Lonchura striata: one gene and its partners. The main gene of each other region encodes a partner of the protein of the gene in region 4 in a complex. Links are inferred from orthologs where the notes say so. Each region holds a gene or a part of one and is shown on either strand. Other genes may lie near its edges.

The links.
Region 1: E2F4 (region 4) and TFDP2 share a complex: the UniProt entries of both Homo sapiens proteins name them as parts of the DRTF1/E2F transcription factor complex. The link is inferred for Lonchura striata from reciprocal best matches to the Homo sapiens genes E2F4 and TFDP2.
Region 2: E2F4 (region 4) and LIN54 share a complex: the UniProt entries of both Homo sapiens proteins name them as parts of the DREAM complex. The link is inferred for Lonchura striata from reciprocal best matches to the Homo sapiens genes E2F4 and LIN54.
Region 3: E2F4 (region 4) and LIN52 share a complex: the UniProt entries of both Homo sapiens proteins name them as parts of the DREAM complex. The link is inferred for Lonchura striata from reciprocal best matches to the Homo sapiens genes E2F4 and LIN52.

Annotation. Positions count from the first base shown.
Region 1 is NC_134612.1:12,733,925-12,741,693, forward strand, and holds the start of TFDP2 (transcription factor Dp-2), read right to left. Parts: upstream 3,007-7,769; 5' UTR 2,831-3,006; intron 1-2,830. UniProt on the Homo sapiens protein: Can stimulate E2F-dependent transcription.
Region 2 is NC_134606.1:60,954,835-60,962,796, forward strand, and holds the start of LIN54 (protein lin-54 homolog), read right to left. Parts: upstream 3,003-7,962; 5' UTR 2,918-3,002; coding exon 2,884-2,917; intron 2,230-2,883; coding exon 1,502-2,229; intron 1-1,501. UniProt on the Homo sapiens protein: Component of the DREAM complex, a multiprotein complex that can both act as a transcription activator or repressor depending on the context. In G0 phase, the complex binds to more than 800 promoters and is required for repression of E2F target genes.
Region 3 is NC_134608.1:23,653,970-23,661,960, reverse strand, and holds the start of LIN52 (protein lin-52 homolog), read left to right. Parts: upstream 1-4,990; 5' UTR 4,991-5,065; coding exon 5,066-5,084; intron 5,085-5,164; coding exon 5,165-5,239; intron 5,240-5,450; coding exon 5,451-5,488; intron 5,489-5,959; coding exon 5,960-6,026; intron 6,027-7,039; coding exon 7,040-7,123; intron 7,124-7,991. Other genes in the region: ALDH6A1 (methylmalonate-semialdehyde/malonate-semialdehyde dehydrogenase [acylating], mitochondrial), read right to left, coding at 211-289, 858-1,019, 2,339-2,413, 4,469-4,531, 4,709-4,768.
Region 4 is NC_134615.1:16,854,963-16,862,486, forward strand, and holds the start of E2F4 (transcription factor E2F4), read right to left. Parts: upstream 3,004-7,524; coding exon 2,821-3,003; intron 1,004-2,820; coding exon 894-1,003; intron 428-893; coding exon 264-427; intron 1-263. Other genes in the region: EXOC3L1 (exocyst complex component 3-like protein), read left to right, coding at 4,054-4,096, 5,065-5,225, 6,169-6,388, 6,673-7,333, 7,518-7,524. UniProt on the Homo sapiens protein: Transcription activator that binds DNA cooperatively with DP proteins through the E2 recognition site, 5'-TTTC[CG]CGC-3' found in the promoter region of a number of genes whose products are involved in cell cycle regulation or in DNA replication.

The DNA of each region.
Region 1 (7,769 bases), on a different chromosome or scaffold from region 4:
AGATCTTTGCAGAAGAGTCATAGTCTACAAATCAAATAATGGGGGAAAAGAGAATTAATTTCATTCTAATACTGGATGTTACAAAACATACATGAAGAATCAATCCAGGAAGCTGTTAGAAAATTCTCACTCTCTACCACGTGTGCACCTTTTACAATATTTCCTTGCATATCCCTGGTTTCTCAGATCCCAGCACAGGCATTTGTGCCCTCAGCTCCACCATGGTATGTGGCACTATTACTACACCAAGACACTGGGATTGTTTTTCACCTAATACCTAAAGTTTTGTGACAAACCGATTCCAGTGGTTTCTTAGCTTTATGCACAAAAGAATATGCAGATGTATTTCCTTGCAGCAGAACAGACAGCTGATTTTCCCTATTTTAAGATTCACTGTTGGTTCATTAAGAGTCATGTATGGTGAATCTAACTGAAAAGATAGTGGAGAAAGTCTTATACCATTACACTCAAGAAATGAAAAAGCAAACAATTTAAGAAATTATCCCTTATTAGAGACAGCCCTAAGAACATTATTTTAAGGTAGCACACCATAAGAAATGCAATTCTAAGAACTGAATTAGACTGGCTATAACTAGAACTCATTCTGTTCCACATTAGGATGCAGAAATTCAAATATTTCTCTCTACATAGGATGGGCTGCTTCCCCCCCATACCATGCAAGTCACTACTCTATATTGCATTTAGAGAGTCACATTCAGCTTTCAAAGGCACAGTGACAAGGTCTGCACATCTAAACCAAGTAACATCATACACCCTTGAAGAGGATGTAATGCTGGAATTTTGGTCCCTGTTTCTTCACTAAACCTGTAACAATTTTAGCCAAAGCTACTGAAAGATCCTCACTGGGAGGGTGCTCACAACTACTCAGGAAGTGTGTCCAGATGCACCAGAGGTCTCTACAGTGCTGTCCAACATGGACAAGAGTAGACAGAGGTAAGGAATTCTCTTGTGTTACTGACATCTCCTGCAGAACAGCACTGCTGCTGCCCAGCTGGGCTGCTTGGCCTGTGCGTTTTACACGGGAGAGCTGCTGCCAAGATGCTGTTCTGAAAACTGTACCTTCCCACTTTGTAAAGGCCACCAGTCAGAACCCTCTGCAGCAATCAAAGCATTCCTTTTACTGGTGTGTTTTCCATAAAATTAATTCTATTAAGATAGTACAAGTCAAATGGTTTCTTTTTGCTTTGCTGCAGTACTGATTTTTGTTCAAAGAGGAAGTGGTTAAAAGCCAAACAATTTGACAGTAATATAAGATCACTCTTAAATTTACCCATGAGGCAATCTTATTAATATTTAATAATTTTCTTTTTTTTCCCCCTAGGATAGAAGTAAATAATTTGACCTGTTACTCTGTCCTCTTCTAAAGGCACTAGACTCACTTCACAGTAAGAAACTTTTCAAAAGAAAACTTGACTTTTTTTTCCTTTTGACCACCTCTCCCACCAAGACTTTTCTATAACACAAATTTCTTCTTAGTCCTCCATGGTTTTTTCAAAGTGCTATATTTAACACCCTACACGTTAGTTTGAACAGAAGTTCCTGAAATTCAATACTTCACAGAGTAAAAAACACCAGTGAGTACACACAGCATTGGCATACATATGGGCTGTGAAACACAGTTCTGCATTTGCCCTGTAACATTGGTCCTCTCAGTCTTTGCCACACTTATAAAGATCCCTTTTTGTGTATTTTTTGTGTATGTATAATCAAAAGAACTGAAGTTAATTTGGGAAGGGTAAAGGAATAGAGAAAATGGAATTTATTTCTTTTTTAACAGCATCCATTTTTACCAGCATGTTATTTTTGAATCAAAGATTGTACCAAGTTGCAATTTGTTACAGCACCACACAACCTCCAACATTTTACTATCTTTTGTCAACATAATTAAGCTACATCAGTGATAGTAGTTGAAAAAAAAGTCACTGTGAGCCATATTAATGAAGAGTCAAAAAAATAATTGAACTGCTTTCAGAATTATGAAAACCGACCAAGAAATAATTTGTAAAAAATGTTTACCCAGCATACTACAGTATATCAATTAAAACTATTCATTTTCTCTGTCAAATCAAGAATTTACAGAGAAATTACAGAGAAAATGAAACCCAAAGTTTCATTTCATTTCAACCCTTTCTTCAGAGGAGAAACCTTTACTCAGTGAGAGAGAACGCTCTCATTTGCGGTTTTCTTCCACATTTCAAGGAAGTTTGCTTATTCCGTATTTTCCTCCTATTGTTTGTATTCTCAGCTCCAACAGACGGTGTTTACACTGGGTTCACCTCTGCCGCTGAGCCCTGTACCGCTGGAAGCCCGGGCAGGCCTGTAACTCCCAGGAAGAGGCAGGCAGGGAAGTTTTGTTGTTGTTGTGCCGGACTGACCCTCTCCCGGTAGGACCCGCGGGTGAGAACCGCCCCGACAAGAAGTCCGGGCGGCACGGAGCAGGGCCGGGAGCTCGGCCGGAGCCTCGCCGCTCCGGGCCGGGCCGCCGCTCGCCCCGCAGCCCGCACAGCCCCGCGCGGCCCGGCCCCGCCGCGCTCCCCACAATGGAGGAGGCGCCCCGGCTGTCACCGCCGCCCGGGCCCGCCCGCAGGTGTCGGGCCCCGGCTCCCACGCTGCCGGGGCGCCCGCCCGGCCTGAGGCACCGGGGGGACGCGGCGGGGGAGACCGCGCTGCCCGGGGCACCGGGGAGGGGGCGGCAGGGCCGGCGGGACCGCGCTGCCCGGGGCACGGGGGGCGGCGGCCGCTGATGGCTGAGGAAAGGGGCTGTCCTTCCCCCCACAGCCCCCCACACCCGCCCCCGCCCCCCGCTCACCCGCAGGACCGGCCAGGGACGAAAGGTAAGGCGGGCGGCAGCGCGGGCTGGGCCCAGACAGCAACGCTGAGGCGACGAGACGGCGACGGTCCCTTGGCAGCCGCCGCGGCAAGGAGCGATCGAGTCGCGCCGACGACGCCTCTCGGCCGGGCCGGCGCCGCGCACTCGCCGCTGGCGAGGAGGCCCCGGAGCCGGGACCCTCGGCGGCCCCGGTGCGTGGCGGCGGCAGCGCCCGCAGCGCCCCCGGCCCGGCCCGGCCCCGCCGCCCCCCCGCGCCCGCCCCGCGCCCAGCGCTGCCCGGTCCTGCTCCCCCGCACAAGCTTGGCGGCGTCTGCCGGCCGGGAGCGCCCATTGGCCGCCGCGCCGCGTGACGTCAGGCGCCCTCCCCGCGTCATTGGCCCGAACCCGTGTGTGTACACACACCGCCCGCCAATCCGCGGGAGCGGGGCCGGGGGGGCGGGGCGGAAGGGCGTGGCCGGCCGGGACCGACCGGGACCCGCGGCCGCCGCCTCTCCCCCGCGGCGCGCGCCGGCCGCTGTCAGGGCGCGGGTTCGATCCCCGCGACGGCTCCGGGCGGCCGCACCTGTCCCAGCGGCGCCCAGGTGCTGCGGGCGGTACGGAGCGTATAAATACACAAACCCATACATATTTATAGGCCTGTATTTACACACAGCGCGCGGCGCCGCGCTGGCTGCGGCCGCCGGCCGTGCCGCTTATCTGCGAGGAGCCGGTGGGGCTGCGTCCCGGGATGCAAAGTTCAGCCCCGCCGCGGGCGCCGCAGGAACGTCCGGCCTCGGCGCGGAGCCGGCGGCACACGGAGGCCAGGGCCGGTGCACCGTGCCCAGCCCCGCGCTCCCCCTGCGAACAAAGGCTCCCGGGCCCACAAAGCGCCGGCGGGGCCCGGAGCAGCGACCGCGCCCTCGCACCTCCGCCCTGCGAGACCCGGGACCCGCTCCCGCAAAAACCCGGACCCAGCTCGGCGCCTTGGAAAAGCCTTAAGTGCTTGATTTCAACATCCTTAACGCTGTAAAAAAACTGTTTCAACGAAGCAGGGTTACATATTCTTACAGAGACCATATAAATAGAAAGCACTCCTGGGAGCAAAAAAAATAAATTCGGCACTAGTTCCATTCAGCACAACGATGCAACATTTGTTAAGTCTTTCTCGAGTGCAGCCAGGCACACATCCAAGGCGTGCAGTTACCCATTTTGCATATTTCTCTAACACAAACGCAGCTTAATGCCACTGAGCAAGCTGAGCAGAACAAGGTTTATGGGGACACAAACACTATTATGTGCTTTAGATTCCTGCAAAACATACATGGTAAGCTTCTGTTTTTCTTGCATTACAAACATTAAATACTCTAGAAAGACATATTTTTGATCCTGTACCCTTCACTAAAAAGGGAAGTAACACCAAAAAACCAAGTGTTCAGCCTATAAAGTGGAGTTCCTAAATATCAGTCTAAGGAATATTAGCAATATTAGCAAACAAGACCTTTATATTTATTTCAATGGGGCAGTTTACAACCGAAAATCTTGCATGTGCCTAGGAATTTGCAGATTGTGGTTTTAGTTTATTTTCATCCTGTAAAAAACACTTCCATAACATGTAACAAAAACTTTTATCAATATTGTCAGTGTTATGCAAGATACATTCACAAAAGCAATAGAATTGGAGTCCCCTCTAACAGGTACGACCACAACCACTAATATGACACACGCCCTGACAGAAGTGCAGAAGGCACACGCTACCTTCAAAAGGAAGCAAACTAGAAGCAACCAGGTTGGCTAGTTTACTGCACTATTATTAGTTACCACAGCTAAAGAAATACTTGAACCCAGCCTTAATAAAGACACTTTGGCTTCATAGATCTCTTTTTGGTTCGTTGGTTTATTTACTTTTTTTGCAAGAAACACTGATGAGCTGAAGTGAGATACTGGAACTGAGTATCAACATGAAAAATAGCCATTTTAACCCCCAAGGAGAGAGTCTATATACACACATCTAGACATATATGTATACACAAAGACACTATTAAGTTTGAAGGTGGTGAAACAATGACCAACTTGCTTGAGTGTAAGTATGCTACTTATGTAACATTCTAAAACAATACACAGTCCTTCAGAACTTTAACAAATCCCAAATTTTACCCCAGAATGAAGGCTGCACTGAAAAAAGAAAAACCCTTAGAATAGGGTTTTTGAGACATGCTAAGGTGGGTTGAGCAGCTACACCTGCCCTGCAGGAAGCTCTCGTGTGTCCCTCCATCACCCATCGGTGTCCCAGCCTCAGAACACCACCTTGCTCCCCCTGGCCAGTCAGATCAAGTCAGATCCCTCCTAGATGCCACCTCTTTCCCCTTTCATAATACATCACTTCTCAGTATCTGCTAGTTTTACTGCTTTCCTGCCAGTCCACAGCCCTTGCTGTGATAACCTGCATGAACATTAACCCAAAACAGCTTCCCCCTCACCACCACCCCTTTTCTCCTCCTCAACCTGCCCTGACTCCCCATAAAGCCTTAAACTAACACACTCCCAACTTCTGGGGCAGAGCACTGCCATATTCCCAACTCACCTGCAGGACTGTCACACCTCTTTGTTTCCAGAGGGGCTCACTTCTTTGCACTCTTTAGCTCAGAAAATAACACAATCCCATTGACTAGCAGGAAAGGGTTCTTCCCTCTTTCTCTTCAACTGGTGAGCCTTTTGTGCTGTGCCCTGATCCTGGAAATAGTGGGACTAGTTGAAGGACCTTGCTACAGAGATTATGCCAGTAGAAGGTAGCAAGCTTTCAGCAACTCGGTATTTTGCTTTTTTTACTTTCTCCTGACAGGAAAGCAAGTCTAAACACTCTTGTTAAAAACAAATGAGAGCAACTAAATTAATTTTACATAAAATTAGCTGTTAGAGTAGAGCAGAAAATACTGCTTAAAAGAAGACTACTCAAAACTTGGTTATTACAGTAAGTTTTTTAACACATCTGACTTGATCTTTTTTTTAGCTATGTAACCAAATTAATACAGCTGCTCAATATTTTCAACTATCTGAAGACTTTCATCTGCCCTTTCTCTTGATATACAACAATAGTAGCAAGATTCCTCCAACAATAGAGGGATTATTATGAGGCATCATTTTTCATGCCATAGTCCCCACATATTTACTAGGACTATATGTTATGAATTGTACAACTGCCAAACTGATATGACATTATCTACTATCAGCACGGTGGGATCTGTGAAGGCAGAATGCCCAGAGATCATTAACACATCTCAACTGTATTGCCAATCTTCACATGCCAATGAGCTGCACTGCTGTCCAATCCCAAGTACAACATTAAATTTCAACTGAGTATCTTAAAATTACAGAACTGCAACCTAGTTAATATCTGTAATTTTGTATTGTTACCTTTACTATCAAACTCAGTTGATAAAAAATGTAAAATTGCATATACTTTCCAAGAGAAAAAGACAAAAAAGAGACAAAAAAATTAAATACAAGCAAAAAGCAGCAAAAGCTGTCATATTTTAAATAAAAGTTAGTATGAGTGAGGTTCCAAAATGGTTTTAATGCCCTTCTGTGCAGCAAAAATTGAGATGCACAGCACCTGTAAAAATGTATCTAAAGCTAATTTCAAATCAATTATCAGGTACCACTTTCAGATAACATCACATTAAGGATTTCCTGGGAAGATAAAATCAAATTTTCTTGTAAAACATAAGCAAAAGAGGTGTTGATCAGTAATCAAATTTCTTCAAAATGTCAGTTTGTCTGCTCAGTCTTTGGGCAACTTCATGTCACAAGCTGTGGCACATGCTCTGATCTCCAAAGGTTGGTCCATCCTGGGAGATTTTCAGGCACCCTTCTGTTTCAGAGCCTTATTCCCTACTTTGAACCTCTCCACAAGAGAACTCGCAACTCTGCAGGCCATTTGAAAGGTTCCGCTGGTAAATACACTAAGGCCTTTTCTCATCCTTACTTGTAGTGAAGTTTCTCTGCCATAGATTTGAGGCTAGTGAAAGGAAATCAGCTAAAATTCCAGCTTCAAATAAACAGTGACAATGGTAAAATGGTTATCCAGAGTGTGTCCTCTAGGATACCACTTGGGGCAAGAGGACTATATAATGTCTTGGCTATCTTTTCTGTCTCTAGCTGTACCATTGCTAGGGTGAAAACTACCACCACTACAGGTGGAGTATCAGGCAGATGGTGCAGAGTTGCAGAGTGATTTGAACAGAATCAGGTTCAACTCCTGTTAGAGCTCTGGGAGCACTGCAACACTGCCTGCTCAGCCCAGCAAAACCTCCAGGCTATCAAGAGAACCTAAGTTAAGGAGCCTTCAACAAAAGGGCAATAGGGGGACATTATACCCAGGCAGATGTTGATGGAACTAAACCCCCTCAGTGAGAACAAAATGCAGAATAACAGTGACTGAGGCACAAACTTCTGCCCAGAATACCAGAGTTAAAGTCCTTCCGCTTGGCCTTGGAGAAAGAACCTTCTTGCTAATGAGCATTTTCTTTAGCAGTGACTTTGTGATGACAGAAGAAAATCCCAAGCTGAATACAGGTGTTAAAGCAAAGTAGTTGTTTCACATATCCTGTAACTGCAGAATCTTACCTTACAGCAGAAGGAGGAATGGAGGGAATCTTTTTGAAGGACTTACTATTATTGGAGTCTTGGCACTACAGCCTGGCATATTACTAGAAATCAGCAGACACACTTCCTTCTGTGCTTCATTTAAGGACTCACATTAAAGAAGGTTAAGGAGAATTGGAAAGATACCCGGAGAAAAGAAAATTGCCAAGATGTAGCAAAGGTTGAAGGGCAGAATATAACAGAAGAACAAGGAAAATGGCAGGTTAAGCTAAGGCTGACAAGTAAATGAGATGGAGGCTGAACACAGCTAGAGGAGATGCTCCAACTCAGGGTACAT
Region 2 (7,962 bases), on a different chromosome or scaffold from region 4:
CTCTGATACTTCAGAAATTTTCTACAGGGAAGAGCACTGTCTATGAAGTGCTAATGTAAACATTTCCCCTGCAATATTGGGTGCTGACCTTGTCTTGTTTCTACTCCCTCCTCCTGGGAAAAAAGCAGTGTCAAGTGCTAACAATTCAGTCTGTTTTGCAAAGGGAACCAATGGCTTAACAAAAAGAAACCACAAGAAGACAAATTTACCCAAACTGCAATTTACCCACTTTGCAATTTTTAATAAATGGATGCAAGTTCATTAGTAAGGAATGTGTAGAATTTCCAATGGCAGATTGCAGAGGTCAATGGCCAAGCCACTGATTGCAGTCACTGACAGCACAAATCATCTCATGCAAGGAAAAACCACAACACAGCTAAGTCGTTCCCTCAGTTTCCTGTATCTGTCACTTGGCAGTGAATAATGAAGTCAAGCAACAGGAACTGATCCACTCTTAAATGTTCCTATGATGACTAAAGTGCAGAGACTTTCTTGAAAACTATACTGACAACCATCTATGTTTCAAATGGCCATTACTAAATGTTTCCAGATATGATGTAGCAACAAAAAAGGAGAATGAAATTAGTGCAGTAGAAATCATCTGCAACTTTAGAGAAAATATTGATCTTATTCACCTGCCATGAAATACTAATCAAGGAACATTTGGCTAATAAAATTCTTTAAACTTTGTCATTTTTATGTGCAGCTGATTATTTTTAATAGCATACTTAAGAGTTTAATTTCACATTTCATTTAGGCAGTAAAATAAATATTTTCCCATCATAATCTGCATTGAGTTCTAATTGTCTTTCACTTTAAGAAGTCTCATTTCTGCCTCACTACCAATAGAACAAAGTCACTCACATTTAGTTCTGCCACATAACAGATGAGAATCAGACTCTTTGAGTCATAACCCAAGTCTTTTCAACACATTTTCAGATCCAAGCAGATTCTCTGTGGTTTCAAATATCTCAAGATCCATGCCAGAGATTAGGAACCAAACCTTGAATGTTCAGCTTATGATAACTAGATTTGAAGCAGACCAGATACACCCTTCTGTTTTTTTACAGATGCTAGAAGTTTTTTCAGAGAGTTTATTTAAACAAACTGAACGTAATAGGCAGAAGGTACTCTTCCATAAAGGAGGGTATACTTTGAGTAAACAACAACAGGCATATAAAGTTGAATTCAGTCTTCCTGAGAGTATGTAGAATTTATTTTTATAAATGAAAATAATGATAAAATTATCTTCAATTTACTGAATAGTTCACTTTCTCTGAGGCAAACCCTAAGTTTCTAGACAGTAGCTAGAGGCAAACAGCATAAAATGGCAAACGCATCAACAGATGAAAGCATGGGCTAAGAGCAGCATTGTATTTTTTAATACAAAGAACAAATGCAAAGGCTGAAAGCAACAGTGTGTCAATCAGTGCAGGAAACAGACAACAATTGCAGCAACAGAACTGGTTTTAGGAAGTTTCATCAGCATAACTCATTTTACCTGTACTGTTTTTACTTGCTGGGACTGCAAGACAGAGGGCTGGGCCGCAGTGTTTATCAGCTGACTTCCCTGCGTCAAAGCTGAGACACCCACAACAGGTTTCACTTCCGACCGACCTCCAATGACAACTTTGATCTGCTGGCCTTGTACCTTGGACTCTCCACCCTGGGCTTGGGACACGGCCTTCTGCGACTGCGGGAGCTGGCTGTGGGGTAGTGCTAAAACAATGGGCTGGCCAGACTTGCCCAAAGTTGTTACAATCAGCTTTTGCCCATCTGGTTTAATACTCTGACTGCCTATTTTAATATCAGTGGCCTTGTTCAGAATAATCTGATTAGCTGAGATAGTGACAGGGGTCTGAGCACCAAGTTTATGGAGGCCACCTGGGAAGGCAGGCTTTACAGCTGCATTCACATCAGGGCTTGGGGCTGTGGTGGTCAGTGCTGTATCTCCTGAGTGGCTGCTGGGCACAGGGACCGATTCCGTGGTGACTGTGGCTGTAGTCGTGGCTGAGGAGTCGCTGGTGGAGTTTATGTTCACTATTTCTTCCAGTTCTGTTTCCATGGGAATAGACTCTCCCATTGGCGAAGACACAATAACAGCCTCAATGCTGTCATCTTCCACCAGAGTTATGCCAGTGTCCATGATTTCCTCAGGGAGCAAGCTGTTCACTTCTGCTGAAACCACCTCCATCTTAGTAGCTGTGGCAGTGATGGCCGGAGCAGGTACTGCAATATTTTAAAAAGTTATTGGCTTCCAGAAAACACATATTTTCAAAGCTTTATGAATAAAATTACCAAAGAAGAAAATACAGTCAATTTTTTTCAGACTGAAAGTATTGTGCATGCACAGGAGGGATATCATGGGAAAAAAAACTGTTAACAAAATATAACCTACTAGGCTGAATTGAGTCTTGGTAATAATTTATATCAAACCTTTACAACATCATTTGCTGAAGTAAAATAAAGGCATTACCACTCCACTCTTTACACCACAGTACACCAAGAAGCAGTGCTTCCCCCCTGAAAATATAGGCACAGACATTTAAACCCACTGAAATATAAAGCAAGAGATAAACAGCTTTTAAAAAATCAAATAGATGATGATGTTTTCTTATACATGCCAACACTGATTAGCAGGTTATCTTACTCAAGAGATTTATTATCCATACCAGATGTAGCATTATCACCAAATTTTCATTTTGGAAATCTCTGATAAAATCAAATGACTATTTAGTGATGGACTTGAACAACCCCAAAAGCTCAATCAACAGCCACCTACCACAGGATCAATCCAAAGCCCTGCCACTCACAAGATGAAGAGATAATCCCTTGATGCCAGCTATGAAAAGAGCTCAGTAATTTTTTTACTTCAATACTCACCAGAAAATTTATAACACACAAATTCATTATTCATTTTAAAGGTGTTCTAAAAACAAAACAAATAACACACTGTATGAAAAAAAAGGGATTTTTTTTTAAGATCACCCAAATTATATATTAAACAAACACCTGCAGCGAGATTCAAAGCCAGAGCCACTTCCACTTGAGAAAACCTAAAGACATTGCTGGAAATGGTGGAACTGTACCATTCCCTTAAGGTTGTATCAGTGTCAAGAGTCTGAAAACAGATCAGCTTAATAAGGCATTTTCTGCACTTGCTGACCCCATGAGCACACTTGGGCCCGGGACGGGTGAGCACACCATGTGGGTCTGCCTACATGCTCCTGAGTACTAATTATAAGCTCAAGGGGACAAAACCCTTGCAAATTCTGTTTCCTACTTGCTAGGAAAAGCAGAGCTGAGTTTTAATACTAATTCATGAGGAACCATGCCAGTGAAGACACCAACCAAATGCCCAAGTGACATTATTTCCTCTGGAGTCATTGTGGGCCCGTTTTGTACAGCAGCTAACTACCAAACAGCTGCATTTCACCCACAAGGTGGAAGGATTGGGGAAAAAAGCCCTGCTAGAATTACACAGTTTCCACACCGAGCTCCAGAGACTATGCTGGAACAGTCCTGGCCTCCCTGATTGCCAAGGGTGCCACTCTGACCCCCCTCACCTCAGAGTGCCAGCCAGACCAAACTGCCCTGACACTCAAGAAGCCTGAGCTCCAAAAGGACTGCACTGACAGTCAAACTCCCAGCTCCCTTATTGGCAGGCATTTAAAGATACAAAGTTATCTGATGTCACTGCCAAAAATACCTCCTATGGAAAGCATTTCTCCCCCAGTAATGCCTGCACAGTGATGCCAGCCCTGGTAAGCAGCCCTAGACAAAACAGCCAGCTCCAAGAGACACATTAGTAGTACTATCATATTGCTGCCTTAAAGTCAAATAGGTTAACTGCATAGATGATTACTCCAAAGTAGACTGTTTTTGAATACAGCATACGTTAAGGTCACTAGGCCTTCTTCTGAGCTGTGTCACTTGACTGTCACCTCAGCTACTTGAAAAGGCTTGCAGCTCAGATAGCAAAACTTCAAACTATTTCAGACACAAAAAAAATAAACCTCAAACCAAAGCATCATCTCGTTCTATACTGATATGCCCATAGGCCTTGGATCCAGAAGTTAGACTCCTAGTGTCAAGCACAATCCATGTAATAATTGCCTCCAAGTTTGAAAAGGAGAGAATAATCTAAATTGGACAGGGGGAAACCCACCTCACTCTGTAATTATAAATAGTTTTAAATAACTTGCTTTGTATTCCGTTTGTACATGTTTTTCCCAAGAAGAAAGGCCATTCTTAGCATCTTTTAACAGTATGATCATAAAATACTTAAATATATCTAAGTAGTTTTATAGTTCATCAGGTATTTGCATTCTTTATCCTTGCCATTTGGTTATGTTACAAAGCAGTAAGTACTTATTAAATACCTATATCTAGTTGAAAGCATGTTTATATTAAAATACATGGAGTCAGGCTTTTAAACAGCATTTTGAGTCCAAACTAACCACTGCAAATCAGAATGCAGAAGAAAAAGAAATATCACATCTACTCTGGAATCAGAAACTGAGAAGTGAAAAAGAAAGAAACATTACTCATAGTTACTGGATTAACAACATATGCCAATCACATAGGAAGATTTGAAGTTATCAGGTAATTTTAAACTTAGCTTTCATTATTGCATTCAGGCTAGTGTGCTCAACAACAGCAAACAAGAACTGTAACACAACCCACTTGGTCCATTTCTTCACTGCAGGTTGGACATGACTGGAATAGATACATGAAAGCCAACCATGAAAATTTCATCCTGGCTACACCAGAGGCTGCTGTCAAAGGCATCTTCAACATCCCTGCAGATTTTTACTTCTTGGTATCTAGCCAGAATTTCTCAACAGTTCAGCTGTTTGTTTTTTACTAATGCTTTTATACAGTTTCCATTTTTCCAGCTCCACTACTAAAGCGATTAGCAACAGTAAAAGCATGCCAACCTCTTAAGAGCCTAACAGCCTTGAGATCGTCAAGAAAGGGTAGCAAATAGTTTTAACTATTTAAACCCTTCAAAGTTTCCTTCACTTAGCACCTATGTTTTGAGTACTGAATAATGCATAAGTGCTAACTACAACCCCTTGAAAAGATTAATCACTTTGTGTTTACTCAAACCTTGAAGGAAAAAAAAACAATCTAGACCAAGGAAGTGTTTAAGCTTAAGCTTCGGACTAGGAAACTCAGCAAATATCCTAGGTTCAGATTACTAAACACAATTTTAGCCTACAAAAACAATGGCCACACAATTAAATAAAAGTTCACAAAAAAAAATCATATAATGAAGATTTGTAAACACAGCTAGCTCAGAACACCCAACCAGCCAAACACATTAAAAAAAAAAAAAAAGTTAGACTAAAGCATATTGTCAGCAAAGTCCTGGACCAACAACTTAGAAAAATGCTAGGCATGGTAACGAGAAGGAGAGGAACAAACTCTCAGCTTGAGCAAACCACCTGTATTCATCTTACTCACAAAACAGATTCCTATTCTTGATATTCAGGAAGAAAAATATATATATGATGGTGTAAAGGATAAAGAGGATTTGTAAGGAAGAGGATAAAGAAGATCAGGATTATAGGCAAAAATACAGAATGGTGTCTGACAGGTATCTGTGAATTTTGATCTTTTCTCTCCATCTAGCATGTCACTGCAAAATCTCTAAGAAACTCCATTAAAAGTATTGAGATCAATCATATCAACACCTTTGTTGATAAATTACCAGAACAACCACACTAAACAGGAAAATAAAATATCAATATAATTAAGCACAGTGATCTACAAAGAAGTAAACAAATGCAAGACATAAAAATATCCTGTATTTTACAATAACTGCATTTTATTACATGAAGAAATGTCTCTATTTCACTAAGAATAGCCAACCTTCCTGCCTGCAACCATGAGCAGTTAGAGTAGGGTGACAGGTTACAAAGCTACCAGTAGGACTATGTATTGCAGGCAAGCAAAACACACATTTATAAATTCAGATTATACAGAAACAAGGCTACTGAGACCAGCTTTACCACTGCTGAGACCACCTGAGAAGGTGATGCATGTTAGCAAGGCCACAGCAACAGAGCAGAGAGCCAAGGCACTCATCATCATTTGTGGCTGCTGGACTGCTGGTGCTCAGCCATGGGAACACTCTGGAATAACCCAACACATCTAGGAACACTGACCAAACCTGCCTCAAATCACTGGCAATGCTCATTTTTTAACCAAATTCCCAAGTGTCACTTTCACCAGAAAATAAGGAAACCAAATCAGTAACAGCTTTTATATGAACACCTCTTGAAGTACAACACAAACCCACACTACCCAAAATCAAAAGCCTCATAAATGCAACACATCTAAGGTACCCCTGAAGCAGCAGGGATTGTCTTGGGACCAGTAAGAAAATGCTAAGCGAAACTAAGTAACATTGCCAGATACAGCAGTATCTGTTAGTAGTTCTTTAAAGCTGGGACAGATACACTTAAAAGTAGCACCCTTAAGAGCCAACGAGAGCAAATATTTTCAACTTCCGAGCTAAAACTATGCAAAAACCTTTAAAAAAGAAGTATAAAGAAGAACAGTGAAGCCTGCCCCCAAAAAAGGGCAGAGTGAAGCTGAAAATCTGAGTCAGATGAATAGCAGAAAAGTAAGAGTGAACAACCTAACAAGTAATTGTTCACTGCAAGTACAGTGGACTCTAATGAAAATGAATATAAAAGAATGCAGGATCAACATTTAGTCAGTACAAAAGGGGCGACATTTGGATTTTCCACAGCTGAGACAAAAATGTGCCAACACCATCTCTTCTCTTTCCAATCAGGGTGCAGCAGAGGACTGCAAGCAGGCTATGGCTCATATTTTTAAACTCAAAAATCCCACATTACATGGTTGCATTCATAAAATTGGCATATTTTAACCTTAACTAGCAAAGGTTTAAAAACACAATATATTTCGTTCCTAAGTCTATTCATTAGAACAAAGTCAAGAGCAGGAGGAAAAAGGGGAAATACAGAATGGATCCTTGAGGATTTAAGTGAGAAGTATGAGATGCTGTCAATTACATTTTAGTTGCTTTTCAAATTTTTCAGCTTCTGCTTATCTGCTCTCTCCTATCCTAGCAACTATGTAAACTCCTGAAGGCTGCTGAGCTGAAGAAATCAAATTTTTTGGGACCTTAATACTTTGAGATTAAGCAATTTGAAATGCCCAGCCCTCAAGTGCCAGTGCCTAGACCTTTCTGCCAAGGTAGGGACAGGTAGCAGACCTGTCTGCAAAAGGTGTACCCAGATGTTGGATCTCCTGCAGCAGGTAGTAGGAAAGAGTTGGATTGCTGGTTCCAAGCACAGGCTGCAGGAGACTCAACAGTTCACAGCCAAAAACTCCCCCACCAGCACACCCAGAAGGGACAGGGGAAATAATGCTGAAGCATGGAGGCTTGCAATGGCAAGGACTGGCAGGAGGAAGAGACTTCTCCCGAAGGCTGAGGTGCCCTTGCCAAACTGCTTCACTGCTCTGCAGACAAAGAGGAAACACCCATCACAGCAGGAAAGATGCTAAGGCAGCCCCATCTACTCCCTTTGCTTGGGGCTTGTGTGCTCAGACCATGGGACTTGCTTCAGAAACCTGGTCTGTGTGGCACTGGGGGATCCATCTGATAGAGAAAGGAAAGAGATCTTTGTCCATAGGCTTGTCTGGATGGTGAGGAGGGTTTTAGACTAAAGTTGTCATAAGAGGGAAACTGAGGGTTGTGATCTGGAGCAGAGTCTGGTTGGAGGCCTGCAGCCAGGAGTGCTCTCCAAGGGGTCAGTACTGGGTCTAGTCCTGCTGAACCTGTTAAATGATCTGAATGAAGGGACAGAGTGCATCCTCAGCAAGTCTGTGGATGATTCAAAGCTGGGAGGCATGGCTAATACATCAAGAGATTGTGCTACAATTCAGTAAGACTTGGACAGAGAGGAACATAATGAAATCCAT
Region 3 (7,991 bases), on a different chromosome or scaffold from region 4:
GTCACTTGTGGAAAAAGCTCTAACAACTTGGAAGTGATTTAAAAATTATCTAAGAAAACTCTTCAGCTTAGAGCTACAATTGATACTTTTCTTTGAGTAGAGGGCTATAAAGGGATCAACATATACAGAGCAATCAGTTGCTCAGGAGACCTCATCCCTTCCTGTGGGTTCTCAAACCCCCTTTTTTAACAGGAGGAGCCAGCAGCTTACGGAGGCCTCGGAAAACATCTCCCTCAGCATCAGCCAGGGTCTTTCCTTGCTCAAAGGTGATGAGTTTGGAAATTTCTTTCTGAAAATGGAAAACACAAAGTTTATGAATGTTAGAAAAGTGCCTGCCCATGAAAAAGACAGAATTAACATAGAGTTGAACATCACAATGAATAGACTGAACACAACCCAGAAAAACCTATACTGACTGATTTGCTCCTTATAAACAAGAAGCCAATAACCCACCTAGGTGACATTTTAGAAAAAATCGTCATCGGATGGTTTGTATTCTAATGGTTTCAGGTATGACACCACATACAGACCAAAAAATCCATCAGGAAAATCCAAAAACATAGTAACATACTTGTCTTCATCAACTGACACATGTTCCATCAAGGCTCAAAGTTCCTTCTGTGGTCTCTTCGTAAAGGAACAAATTCAGAGCAATATTCCCTAAGAAGCGCTGCCTCTGTTACCATTTGATGAGAGAAGTGCTTTGCTGCACCTCTCGACAGTGTCTCAGTTGATTTCTCAATCATGGCAGCACCTCATCAAGAACACTGTAAACCCCAAGTCTCTCTCAATTTAGTTTCTGAAATCAGCTGCAATGCATTCAGCCATAGACATCACACACAGCCATGGGATCTCACCAGATTGTCTTTGATGAGCTGTTGATAGCGCAGGAAAATTTGCTGGCGACTCAAAACAGATGTTTCTGACCAGTTCCAAAAAGCCTTTTTGCAAGAAGCCACAGCTGCCTCCATCTCACTGGCTGTGGCTTTCGGTACACGGCCAACCACCTCATTTGTGGCCTGAAAGAGAAAACAAATTGCATCAAAACTCAGCTTTTCCTATGTGTTCCCACCAACCATTCAAGAGTTCTTTCACAGCACACACCTAATATTCTTGTTCTACAAGTTGTACTTCTGAGGGCACAGCACAAAGGAAATGCCTTCCTTGATTGCACACAAAAGGCCTGGGCTACAACTGGAGTAGTTCTGAAAACCTGCATTCCAAATATATCAAGCTAAGCACTCAGAAAACTACAAATGCAGTGCTGATTTCCAAGCTGGAGTTGAAGTGACTTGGCTATCTTGAAACTTCTAGACAGTATAAGGAAAAATTTTCCATGGACTATGGTCTTTTCCTCTCCATCGTCTTGGTTCATCTGGCTGTCCCTCTTGCACATTAAATGAGGCAATATTCCTTTGTGAAAAGCAGTACATGACTGCACATTTGCCATTGATATTAGCTTACCTATACCCCTAGGCCAAAGTACTATTTATATACAACCTTAATTCTATTGTATTTTAACTTCAAGCTTGGTGCCAGTTTAACCTCCTTCTAATGTTATCTTAAGAATTAAATCTGCTTTGACATGACAAAAATTTCAGATATATCAGTAAGACAGAAATTACTCAAAACAAGAGGAAGAAAATTAAACAAGAGCACTGCTTGCTACATAGACCAAATGAGCTTCATGAACATTACTTGCTGCTCTGATCATTTGCACAAAGCAAATGAAAATAGAGCTGTACAGAAAAGATTTAGAAACTGCTGTTTTAAAGGCTTACTAGGAAGGCCAGAGGATCAGAATTCTGAGTGCAACCTCATTTCCATTTGTCTTTGGTGGAGTACATAGACAACACAAGTGCTACTTATCTATTTTGCACTGCATAGCATCTAGCTCTGTGATTATTGTGCGTCAACAGATAGAAACTCTCTGAAAGGAGAGGAGCTTCAGCTGTTAGCATTTTTCACCTTTTTACTCTGAGAGTAATATCAGCCTCTATCAGGATTTCACATTCAGCTGGGATCAAATCACACCCAGTTGATTTCATATACAGAGTGAAAGACACCCTTCAGAAATCTGACATACAAAAAAATACATAACCAAAATTTAAGCTTCCTTTCTGGAGACCAGGGCCTTACTATGTGAGGGAGGTAAGGGTGATAGTAACTTATTCTGAAACTGATATTTCATGTGAAAAGGAAACTGAGAAGCTGTAGTCTGCTGAGTCTAAACCTTTCTCAAGAAATGTATGTTTTTCATCTGCCACATCCCTGAAGAGGCATAGACCTTTGTTTCACAGTGATCACTATTTACATAAGGTGAGAGCATTTCACTTACTGGGTTGTGGATATCAATCCATTCAGTAGTTTTGGACTCAATAAACTTCCCATCAATGAAGAGTTTGGTTGTTGGCTGTGGAGGTCAAAACACTGAAAAGTGAGTTATTTTTGTCTCAACATGCCTAAATGCCAATGTGCCATATTACATGCAAGCCTTTATCATTTACTGCTATGTGAACCACTAAAGTCTGTATCCAGTCTTCACAGCAAGACCCAGATAATTGCTCTCTGCCCCATTTTGCTCTCTTTACACCTAAATAGCCAAAATTCTTTCTAAAAGCAGTTATAGAAAAAAATACATTGCTCTGCTTATGTTTGGGATTGTTTCAATCTATTTAATCAAAACCTGAAAAACTGCAACTCATAAATGTTCAGAAGAAACAGTTAATAATTCACTTCATGGGAATTCTGTGAACCCAGTGCAGACTGTACCACTGTCCCATGTGCCTCCTTCCCATCAAGCCACTAAGCAGGTTCATCTTTCCAGTTTATAGCTTCAAGCAGAAAATTGGACTTTCCCCACCCCCTGCTTGGTCTTGCAACTAAGAGTAAGAAACCTGTATCTGTGGACTGTCCTGGCTGGCAGCACAGAAAACAAAACTTTCCCACTCAGATGAAGAGGAGGGACAAGGAAAGTTTGGAATAAGGAGTTCAGGCAAACATAGAACAGAACAGAAGGCAGAGGTAAAAGCTGTAATTAGCATTAGATAGGCAACAAAACTATACCATGCAGGAAAACAAATTGTGACTGTATAAATTAAGAAACTATAAAAGAGGAGTTGACATTGGGAGGTAAGGAGAGAATTAGAAGAAAGCAAGAACCAGTTAATCATGACACAAATCCATGACTTGGGGAGAACATGTAAGAGAAAGGGGAAATGGATCTTCTGTATGAATAACACAAATGGGACAGATCAACAGAACCAGGATATAAACCCAAATATATCATGAAAATGAAGAAATTATGATATGGAATTATGAAAGGGAGATGAGAACTTGGATGATATCCAAAGTGTAATGAAGAGACAGAGATCAGAGTAAGAATCAGGAACATAAATGGTACAGGGTGGACAAGTGATGACAGTGAAAAGTGGATGAAAGTGAAAAAAAATTAACAGCAATGTTAGTTGGACAAACTGAGAAAGCTTTGAGATGAGAAAGTTAGGATCAGAAGTATAAAATAAGTCTGTTAATGGACAAGCAAAACTTAATGATTTGGAAAGCAATGCTAGAAGAGAATTAAAATTAAAATGTTGCAGATGATTATGTAGCTGGACTCACACTTGGGGAAGAGAGGCAGAAATCTGTGCCTACAAAAACACAATCTCCTCTAGAACCTGGAAGAAAGCACAGGATATCCGAGTCCCTTGACCGAGTTTCCTGACTGTGAGAAAAGCTGCTGGTCTAAAGAATGACAAACTCCTATGGCTATCAATCACTCCATTAGCCTCAGTGCCACCGAGGCTAATGCAGTACAACCACAAGCGCCAATGCTTTATGACCCACATAGACTTCAGTGCAATGGAGTTAATGTCTTTTTCAAATTGATTAAAAAGGGTATCTCAAACATTGCACACGCAACAAAAAATACTTTAAGCAAGCCAGAAAATGGTGAATTAAAATTAATTGCACCTTTCCCATAACATCGCCACCTTTTTTTATGTAGAGAATGCACCTGCTGTGGGAACATGGACGGTAGTAAAGCAGACTACTTGTGGAATTCTGGTTTGGAGTTCAGAGAGTGTGCAGCCATGGACAGCAGAGGAAAAAAGGCAGTACAAGAACCAAAGTTGTTTGATACTGTCCGAAAGAAACCAGATCCTCTCTCTGTCGCAAATAGATGCATGAGGCCAGTCCAGAGCCACCAGGAGTACCGCGGGGTGAGGGCGGCCACCGCTCAGCTCCGCAGTCCGACAAATCGGACATGGAACTTTTTCCCGTCCCTCCCGTGGAGCGCGGGCGCAGAGCCGATGTTTGTTCCACCGGACCCGCCGGGGTCCAGCCGAGCCGGCGGGAACGGCCTCAGCGGAGCGGAGCCGAGGGCAGTGTCCGGCGGGCGGCGGCGCCCGGGGCTCTCCCGCGCCTCCCTCCCCGCCCACCGGCTCCGCTCCGCGGGACGGGCACTCACCACCGAGGAAGAGAAGGACGCGGCGACTGAGGTGGTCCAGGGGGCACCGGCTGTCCGCGGCAGCTGGACGGGGGCAAGCACAGACCACCTCAGGGCGGGTCAGGCAGCACCTCCCCCCGACCCCCCTCCGGCTGCTCCCGCCCGGAACCGACCCCCGCGGGGCCCCGGGGTCAGGTGAGCCTCGACCCCCCTGCGCCCCCCGAGCCGCCGGAGCCGCCCGGGGCCGGCCGGCCGCCTCACCCTGAGCGCCACGCGGCGCCGCCCGCCCCACGCTCCCCGCGCCGCCGCCGCCGCCGCCATCCCGGCCGAGGGTCCCCGCTCCGAGGCCCCCGGCCGCGCCCCCGCCCCGGCCCCGCCCCCGCGCGGCCAATCGCCGCCAGCAGCCGCTCTGGCCGCGCCCCCACGGCCCCCGCCCCCCGTGCCGGGCCGCGGATTGGCGGAGGGGGCCGAGCCGCCCTCCGAGCGTCACGGCCCGGCCCGGCCCGGCCCGGCCCCGCCCTGCGGCGGCCGCGAGCGCGGCGCGTGGGGCTGGGGGCGGGGCCTGCTTTCCGCTCCCGCGCGGCTCGGCCGCGGGCGCGGTCACGTGAGGCGCGCGCCATGGCGGCTCCGGCGGACGGTGAGGCGGGAGGGCCGGGCGGCACCGCCGCTCCCGCGCCGCTCCCCGCCCGCACTGCCCTCACCCCCTCTCTGTTGCAGGCGCCGACCTGGAGACCTCGCTGCTGAGCTTCGAGAAGCTGGACCGCGCCTCCCCGGACCTGTGGCCCGAGCAGCGTAAGTGCGGCGGGCCCGCGGCCCCGAGTCTGACAGCTCGGGGTGGGGTGGGGAGAGCCCGGCCGGGCCGAGCCGGGCCGGGCCTCCTTGGGGCAGCTGCACGGGCCGGGCCGGGCCGGGCCTCCTTGGGGCAGCTGCACGGGCCGGGGCGGGTGGCGGTGCCGCCCGCAGGAGCGCTCACCCCGTGCCAACCTCCGCTTTCTCTCCCCAGTGCCCGGGGTTGCCGAGTTCGCCGCCTCCTTCAAAAGCGTGAGTGAGCGCTGCTTTGCCTTTCCCTTTCGCGTTTCTTCCTTCCGTGTAATAGTAGATCGGCAGGTTCTCTTGCGCGCTTTACATCTTCTATGAACCGTATCTCAGCAATAAGTCCAATATATGCTACAATATAGCTTTTGGTTTTAATGTATCTTTTATATATGTGTTTCTTTTTATGCCTTCTGTAGTTCACTGTGTATGAGAATTATACTTTGAAAGCAGTAAAGGCTTTTAAACGTCAGAAAATCCTATTTTTCATACTGATTTTTTGGCTTGTGAATGGTGGCATGCCGTTTTTAACTCTAAAGTGTCCAGGAAAAAGCAAGATTAAACATAAAGGTATTTCTATGGCACACACTCTCGCATTTTTGCTGTTGTTGTAACTAGTTTTCAATACAGATCGTACTTCATTGTATAATTCTAAGAATGGACTTTTCTGAATATGAACTTCTATTTTTTTCAAAATAGCCCATTACAAGTTCTCCCCCCAAGTGGATGGCTGAATTAGAAAATGATGATATTGATATGTTGAAGGGTGAGTATGAATATTGTGGGCAAGAATTAAGGTTGCCAAAGCAGATGGGAATTCAGTAGTTACTAAGAGGCTTAAAACACTTGTTCTTTAAATGTTTTGGTGGTGGCCTTATGGCCTGAGATCTCTAGCCATCATATTTGCAGAATCTCCAACTCATAAGTCTCTTCATCTTGTTAATGATAGACATTTTCATTAAACCAGTTATTTCCAAGAGCCTATCCAGATATCAGTGGCAGGCTGATTTTTCAAGATAAGCAATGTAACATTGTGTATATTTCAGTCACCTCCCATAGCCTTTTTATCACCATATAAGTATAGTGAGCATCTCCTGCATTTTGAGAAGTAGCATTAATTTTTTGGAGGGGCTCAGCTGATCAGTTGGTGAGTAGCTTAGACTTGTTGATTGACTTGTTCAGAGATGCTCTACGTGTGTGTGTTCCCTCACAGATCCAGGAGCTCCAATGCAACGGTGAGGCTGTACAGGCAAGTTACAGCAGGATTAGCTAGCATGTACACTTTCTTCATGGTGCAGCTGTTAGTTTGCAGTCAATATCCTTCAGCGTGCTCTTCCTGTCATGAATTCTGAATGATGGTGTGTGATCGTGTCACAGTGACATGTCACAGCTACAGAGTGAAAGTGAGACAATTTAACTCTGACTCACTCCAAGAAATGTGCTTGAACTCACGTTATTAATGCAAAATAAGTCCATTCCCTTGCTACTTTTATATAGCTTGTTCATGTTGCAGTGTGAACTTAGAGGAACTTCTAAAGTATAGGTCAAATTACTCTTTGCAATGGTGGCAGATCAAATCACGAACTAGAGTCATGGCTGCCTTTCTCCGTACTTTAAAATTAGGAGTGGAGTCAGCTTGAATTTTGAATGTACGCTGTTCACTGAAACAGATCCTGACAGAATTAAGGCTTGAAAGTGCTCTGTGAAGTACTAAACAGGTGAACTGCTATTGGAGGACTATAGAGAGGGTTAAAATTCGTCTTTTTCTCTCTTTTTAAGAGCTGGGGAGCCTTACTACAGCTAATCTGATGGAAAAAGTTCGTGGCCTGCAGAACCTGGCTTATCAACTGGGACTGGATGAATGTAAGTGCTGTACACAGATATGACTGACTGCATTCCAAATCTTTCCACTAAAGCATGTGCCTGTACATTGGTAGCTGGAAAAGTGTGTTGACAGATTTGGCAAGTGTTTTACAGTGACCTCCTGCAACAGGATGAGAGAATGAACTTACATCTCCAACTTACAGCCTACCTGCATGGGGGAAGATGTGTGTCTGGTGTTACCCAGTGGCACAGAGACTTCTGTTCCTGAGTTAACATTGTGTTACATAAATCAGGTCACTTTGCTTAATTTCCCACTCAAATTCTAAAGGTATTTCTCAAAATAATTGTGGCAGTACTTCTCTCAAATTTCATGCACTGCCTCCACAGGGAAATTTGTGTATAGGATTCTCCTGTCACTTTGGTATTCATACTGCTTTCTGCTTCTGTAGCTGTTACTTTTTTTACACTCAGTTGTGGTGGGCAGTGATGTCATTGAGTAATAAAGATGACTTTCATCCCAGTTGCAAACAGCCAACTCTTTCTGTGTTTTTTTGAAAAAAGAGCTCCTTTCATTGTCTCATTTAGGACTCCTGTTAACAGGTTGATATAGCTTTGAGGATATCAAGAATATTGTGGAGTTGGTTTTAATACTACCCATACATACCAACACATTTTTTTTTCTGTTTAGACCCTGGTTGTAATTACTCTTGGGCTACATGAAGCACCAAAAGTTTCAAGTCTTTCACCTTGCTTTTAGTGGGTACTACAACTTAGTAATAAACCTTTAGAGTCTTTCTGACTGCAGACATAGGATAGCCTAATGCATTCTTAATAACAAATCATTAAGCTTGTTTTAACCTACTTTGAGTTTATTTTACTTTCAGTGCTAATATCTGTTAAGACTGTG
Region 4 (7,524 bases):
TGACTCAGAAAAAACCACTTTTCTCACTGTGGTAAACATTACTATGTTTTTACTTCCAAAAGCCAGAGGAGAAGCTGGATGCAGAGAAAAGCAGGTCTCCAGGCTGGACAGTTACCCTAATTTCAAACCAAGGTGCTGCCTTTTGATCCTTTCAGTGCAGCTTCTCCAGCAGCAACAGGCCAGCACCCACCAAGCTGTCATGTCTCTGCTTCCCAGCCCAGCAAGTGAACACGGAGACAGAGCCATCAGTTCACACAAAGGATATCGACTGTTCTGCATGTCTTCTGTAACATTTTTGATGCTCTGCTGAACCCACATCTTCTGCTGCTCCAGCTCCTGCTCCCGCTGCTCCAAGTCCTCAATGTCTGCCTTCAGCTCAATCAGTTTGTGAGCTATTTCACGTGTGTTGCAGCCAGGACCCACCCCCCTGGGTAAAACAAAAATGGGTGAGATATATCGGCCTCTGGAGGCACCCAGACCAACATCAATCTCTCTGCCAGCCTCTTATTCCCACCCGTGTCAAACACCAATGCCAGATTGCCTGGAAAGCTGTGTCTGTACCCACTCTAGACCCCCACTTCCCACCATAGCAATGTTTGGTACACCTTTCTACTTCCCACAGTCTCCCCCACCTCCAGTGCCATGACAGGTATCTTTCCTAGACCAAGGCAGTGCAAATATTTAGTTTGTACCAAAATAACACCTTTGCTGTAAGAGAGACACCATACGAACTTCAGCTTTCCTCACTGTGCCATCAGCACAGCACAGCTGGGGGAGGCAAGAGCATGGACCACTCAGGAACCTCCCTCTGCACACAGCATTTTAATCCCACTGTCACTTAAATCTGCATTAGAAGGGACCTGTGAATGATTTAGACCATCTCTACCACTCACTTCCACTGGATACTGTTCTTGGACTTCTTCTCAATCAACCCGATGCCTTCCAGGACATTCGTGATATCGTAGATCCGTCGCTTCTGTCGCACAGCCAAGGTATCTGCAGCCTGAAAAAGGTTAAGATACTTAATTCCAAACTCTCAGTCATGTTTAGCTCCTTCCTGCCTGGCAGATTAACTCCTGGCCAAATACTTTGCTCCCTGTTTCATACCTCTCCCATTCCAGCGTTTCACGTTACACAGCCATCTTCTTGATCTCACATGACCATGAGAAGAAGTCACTCATTCTTCTTTTTTTCTTACCCCATAGCCTCCCCACTAAACCCAAATCAAATTCCAGCACTCCTACTCACAGTGGATACAAAAATCACCATTCTCCAGTAGCAAAGCAGTGCTAGAATATAGTAGTTCAGCAGCCTAAAAATTTAGTGCTCCCTCGGGGTAGAGATGGAGATGGGAAGGGGAATGCTGAGAGCTGTCTGTGCAACACTTCAGTGAAATCAACATTCACAAGGTCTTTTCTAAAGCTGATCTGACACTACTTGATAAAGAATCAATATCTTTTCAAGAGATTCCTCTGTTTGAATGACATGACTCCAGGTGGAGAGTAACCATGAGCATGCCTGGGGCTTCCCTGCCTTGCTCAAATAACCCTTTTCCCTCAGGTTTCAGGACTCAAGGAATGGCACTGTTTCCACTACCACACGGCAACCTGGCACCAGCAAGAGTTAATGTGTGCACAGAAGGACCAACAATGTCAGTGGCAGTGCAGACACAGCAGGTCAGCACAGGAACTATGTCTCTGTCACCTACCAGTGACAGGCCAGGACCTCGGAGATCCTACACCATACAACTACATAAATCACACTGACTAACACGAATTCCCTTAATGGACATTTGAAGAAGAAAAATATTGTCAAATCAAATGAGAAAACAATTTGGCACAGGCATGGAGCCAGGAAACTCCTCCAGTCCATTACTGGGGCTTTCTGGCACTTGTCTGTCTCACACACGTGCCCACATAAGAGATGCTTATATAAACCACAGCAAAGGAACTTCCCCTACAGGAAAGGCCAGAGATTAAATACTATACATTGACAGTGTTACTTCCTCTAGGTGAAGATCTTAAAATGCAGAAGCAAGATGATTTCACACAACACTTCTCCACTGCCTAAAGGCATGGGGACAACCTCTGGCAGGTGACTCTGACCACCCTCCCCATCCTGGTGTGTGCCAGGAGGGTTAAGTGCTGTATGGACAGTTTCTATAGGTATGTGTTTCTGTAGATGTCTGAGGCTTTGGTGCCAGTGATCAAGTACGGGGCAAGAACGCATAAGAGAAGAAGGTGGTCAAACGTTTCTGCAACTGAAGCACACATACACCTCCAATGCATGGTCAAGTCCTGGCGAAAGAAGAGTCGCCGGGACAACCCGACGGGGTGGGGACAAGGGCTGGGAAGGAGGAGCAGGCGGGGGTGTAAGGTCGGCCAATGCAGAGCCCTCTGTGTACGGCCGGCAGCCCTGCCGCAGCCCCAGAACCCCGCTTTCCGCTCGCCTAGAAACAGCATCAGTACGGCTGGAAAAGCCCTCACGGCTCATCGATCCCAGCCCCTAAACCCCACCACTGAACCATGTTCCTAAGCACCGCACCCACAAACCTTTTGAGCGGGGACAGTGCCTCCACCGCTGCCCTGGGCAGCCCATTCCACCAGTGCCTCAGCACTCTTGCCGTGAAGAAATTTTTCCTGGAATCCAAACTAAACCACCTGCTGCACCGGGCGCTGCCATGCCCCCGTTCTCCCCCTGCAGACCTGCTCCAGCCGCCGGATGACCGGTCCCGCCGGAGCATCGCTCTCCCGGCGGCCGCTCCCTCCGAGCCCTCCCCCGGGGCGGCGGAGCCCTCCACCCCCCCGGCTGCCCCCGCACCAGCTTGAGGTCGAGCACGCCGTCCTTGGCCTCCTGCAGCAGCGACACGAACTTGGTGGTCAGCAGCCCCAGGCTCTTCTCGTGCCGGCTGGGCGCGCCCGCAGCCCCGCTGCCACCGCCGGCGGGCTGCGCCCCGCACTCCGCCATCTGCCCGCCGCCGCCGCCGGCTCCGGGGCCGCGCATCCGCTTCCGGGCCGCGGGGCTCCCCGGGAACCTCCGGGGCGGGGACGGCGGCGGGGCGGGGACCGGGGACTCCCCGCCGCCGCCTCCCGGGGCTCCGGAGCCGTTCCGCTCTGCTGCCGGTGTTCCGTCAGCCCCGTCGGTTTGGGGGTCCCCCGGGCAAAGCCAGGGGTGCGTCCATCCCCTCGCCGTTCTGCGGTGCCAAAGTCAAGCCCCACCCTGTGGTAGCGAAGCCAAACCTCAGCCGTGTACTCGGCTCTCACCGCCCGGGTGTCAGGGCCGGTTTGCTGCTCCAGCACACCCAGCGCCGGGGGAATCCTCCAGCCTGTGCCCGGGGAAGGCAGCCTGTGGCAGGGACACATCTGCAGGTCCATCTGCAGCCATGGAGGGTGCATCCCCGCGTTCTCGCCTCCGGGTCAGGCTGGCACAGCACACCCTTCATGGTGATCCACCCTCGAGTGGGCTCGCACTGTGGATGGGCTGGGGTCTGGGACCCCGCTGGCCTCCCCGAGCCAGGGTGGGTGCGAGAGAACAGTGCTGCGGGCACGGACAGGGCTGAGTGTCCGGAGAACAGGGGGTGCCGGTGTGGGTGGACAGGACGAGAGGAAATGGCCTCAAGTTGAGTCAGGAGAGGGCTAGATTGGATATTAGGGGAAATTTCTTCATTAAAGGATGGTCAGGCACTGTAAAATGTTGCCTGGGGCAGTGGTGAAGTCACCATCCCCGGACACGTTAAAAAGCCGTGTGGATGTATCACTTAGGATATGGTTTAGTGGTGGGCTTGGCAGTTACCGGTTGGTACTCGATGATTTTAGAGGGCTTTTCCGATCTAAACGATCCTTTGATTCCGTGACTTGTATTCCCCAGACCTCCGGCTGTCGCCGTGCCTTCCCGTGTCCCCCCTCCCCTCCGCCCCCCGTTCCTGACGTCCTGAGCGCGGCTGCGGGAACACAATGAGGCCCTGAGGAGCGCGGCTGCTCCGGCTGAGGAAACGGCAGCCGGCTTCCTCCGCAGCCCTGCCCTGGCCCCGCAGCTCCGCGCAGCCTGGACACCATGGGCATGTCTGCGGAGGACGAGCGCGCCGCCAGCCCCAGAGGTAACGCGCATGATGCTCCCCGGGAGCCGGCGAGCTGGGCAGGGAAGGGATGCTGCTGCTTTGCAGCACGTTTTGGGGATTCCCCTGCTCTTTGCCTCACCACCCCCTCCACCCTCCTGGATCTTTTCCCTGTGCCGTGGCTGGTGCTTTGTTGTCCTTGCGGGGTGGCAGCCTGGCTGTGCTTCCTGATGGCGATACCTGCGCGGGGGCAGTTCTGCTCACCGCTCATCTTATCCTCAAAGCTGCTGTCCTCCTCCCTAATCCCCTGGTCCCAAGGCTGCCAGCGGCTCCCCAGCAGAGCAGGAGCCTGGCTTGGCACGGGGTGATAGCCCCGCGGAGCTGCAGGGAGTGGCTGGGGATGGGGTGGCGTGGGGGAATGATGAAACCAGGCATGAGGGGACTGGGAATGGTGTGTGATAACTGTGCTGGTTCTCAGACCTCCACTGTGGCCAGGAGCTCTTTGGCATGGCTTTGGACCCTGTGTCAAGGGGGACACAGCTGCATGGGTGCTTTGGGGAGACCAGGAGTCTCCAATCCTCACTTTAGCCTGGCTCTCCTTCCTGCGAGAACTGCTGTGTCCCCATCCCTCCTGCTGACTCACTGCTGGAGTCTCAACCCTGCTGACAGCTGCCCAAGTGGCATCAAACCCCCTCAGACAACCCAGCATTTTGTTTTGGGGAGTAGCCGGGATGTACACTCAGCCTGGGGACAATCTGAGCTGGCAGGCTGAGTCACAGCACCCCAGGACAGCTTTATTTCTTGCTGCCACAGCTGCTATGACAACCCCGGGCCGTGGTGGTGGCATCTTAGGGGGCCCTTGTGGAAGGACCCTCTTGGGGACACGCTGCCCAGCTTCCCACGTCGGTGTGTGCTTGGAAGTCCACTAGCGGCGAGCTTCCTGCCTCTGGCCTCAGGGGCCCTTCCTGCCCCACTTGGTTGTGCTCACTGACCCCTGGCTTCGTCCCCAGACGAGGAGTGGCCGGAAGCGGAGAAGGCTGAGAAGCTGGCGAGAGGAGCTGCTCTGAAATGGGCTTCAGGGGTGTTTTACCGCCCCGAGAAACTGGAGGGGCTCGGGCATTACCGGAGGCGAGAGACGCAGAGGAACAACTCCATCCAGTCCCGGCTGAAGGTGTGTGTTTGCCCATCCCGCGGACACTTGCAGCCACACCCCCTCTTCAGGCAGGGACCCCAGCCAGGTCCCCTCTTGCGCCATCAATTCTCTGTATGTCCTCTTTTGACAAAATCTTTTCCTTTGGCTGGCGTTTGGTGGGTGAAGTGTAATTGTTGGGGAGAGAAGACCCCCTTCACCCTCTGCCTTACCCCCAGGCAGTGTCTGAAGTTTTAAAAGGAGTCTTCTGTGTCTCTGACAATGCGGCAAAATAAAACACCAAGGGGGCTCAGCACATTCCATGTGCAGGACTCAGTGCACCCCATCACTGCCCCGTCCCAGCCCCAAAGGCTGCCCTGCCCCACAGCTGGGAGGAAGCACAGAGCTCCAACCTGTCCCTGCCTGTGCATCTCCACAGGGAAAACTCCATCTCTCCACATTTGTAAGGGTTGTCCCAGTCCCCCTGCACACTTGCCTCCTCACCCACATCCTCTTTTGCATGACCCAAGGAATCAGTCTGAGCACCACAACTTTCTCCTAATAATTTTAGAAATGGTTTCTCCTATCCTGACTCTGGATGAATTGTCTGGGAGGCCTCCGTGAAAGCAACTTTTCCTGGTGATTCTTGGCATCAGGAGCAGGGAGTTAAATGAGTGGATAGGGCACGGAGATGTGCCAGTGCAGGGCTGGAAACGATGGCACTCCATTTGGGAGGAGGGTTTATATGGCCACTGAGGTCCTTCATACCTTGGGGGCACATAGGGACCCTATGACCCACTGCTCTTTTGCAGAAGCAAAGTAATCTTTTAAAACTGAGAGAGGCATCTGCTTGCTGTTTACCATGGGCCTTGTGGGGCTGGGAGAGTGCCTGCAACACATATTGTACAGGGCTGGGACAAGTGGTGTGGAGTCCTCCTGCCTTCTGGAGCTGCTCCACTGCCCTCCATCCTTTTCTGCTCCCCAGTCAACTGTCCAGTCCTACCTGGAGGGGGTAAGTGCAGGGCTGGAGCAGCTGCGGTCGGCGGCCCAGGAGGTGCAGGGCGTGTGCCAGGACCTGGGGGCTGCACGGTGGGCCCTGCTTGACAGCGCAGACAACTTCCAGGGCCTCCAGCAGATGAGGAAGCTGATGGAGGAACATGTGCAGCTGGCCTCGGTGGTCCAGGTGCTGCCCCAGATCTTCTCGGGTAAGGCACTGGCCCAATCCTGGTCAATTTGGGCTGAAAAGCACTGGGGGAAACCTCAGTGCAACCACAGGCTCTGTGCAGGGCTGGTGGTAAAGCAGGTCATTCAGGCTTTGCCAGCTGGGTGAATGGAGATATCCCTGCTTCCCCAGGGCCTGATCCAATGGTGTTCCCAGAGCCCCAGACCTTTCCCCTCACCATCTCCTTGATAACCTGCATCTATGTCCCTGGTGCAAACCCCTTCATCTCCACACTCAGTGCTGGCATCTCTCCTCCCTCTCCCACAGTCCACGAGGTTTTTTCCCATATCCTGCAGCTGCTCCATGGGCAGCATCTCTTGGAGGCCCACGTGGAACTCATGATGGTAGAGCAACTCCGGGATGACATCCTCTCCCAGCTGCACCTCCGCGGGCTCTCCGATGCCCAGGCAACTGTGCTGTCCTACTTCAGTGGCCTGCAGGACCTCAACGAGAGCCTGGCCAAGCAGCTGTGGGACATTGTGGGCAGCAGCCTGCAGCTGGTGCGCGAGGACCCCGTTCTCTTTGTCACTGCTGTGAGGATCATCGAGCGGGAGGAGAAAATAGATGATACTCTGCTCTTGGAGGCCACCTTCCTTCCCCCTGGCCGCCCAAAGGGCTGGAGGCAGAAGTTCTACCAGGTCCTCCAGGACACCATCACAGGAGCCCGTTTCCATGCTCCCCGCATGGATGCTGAGGGGCCAGGGCTGGCCAAGCACCTGGCAGCGCTGCAAAAGGACATCGTGTCTGAGCTGCGTGTGGTGAAGGACCTGATGGTCCAGTGTGTCCCAGCCCACTACAACATCCTCAGCCTCTGCACTGCCACCTACCACCAGGCCCTCACCAGCCACCTCCAGGAGATCCTGCGGGAGGACCTGGACAAACAGGGACTCTTCCTTCTCCTTGAGTGGGCGCTCCGTGTATACCACAGGTCAGCAGCAACCCCGGCACAACCAAGTGGGGGATGTTGTGGAGAGCTGGGTTGTTCACCAGCTCATGGATGGGTTAGGAGAGTGTCTCTAGCTGCCAGGGGATGATGACCAGGAGGGCAGAGGGACAGGTAGGAACTCCTGGAAAACAGGCCTTCCCAGCCCTGCCCCACCTCTGCCCTCCAGCCCAGAG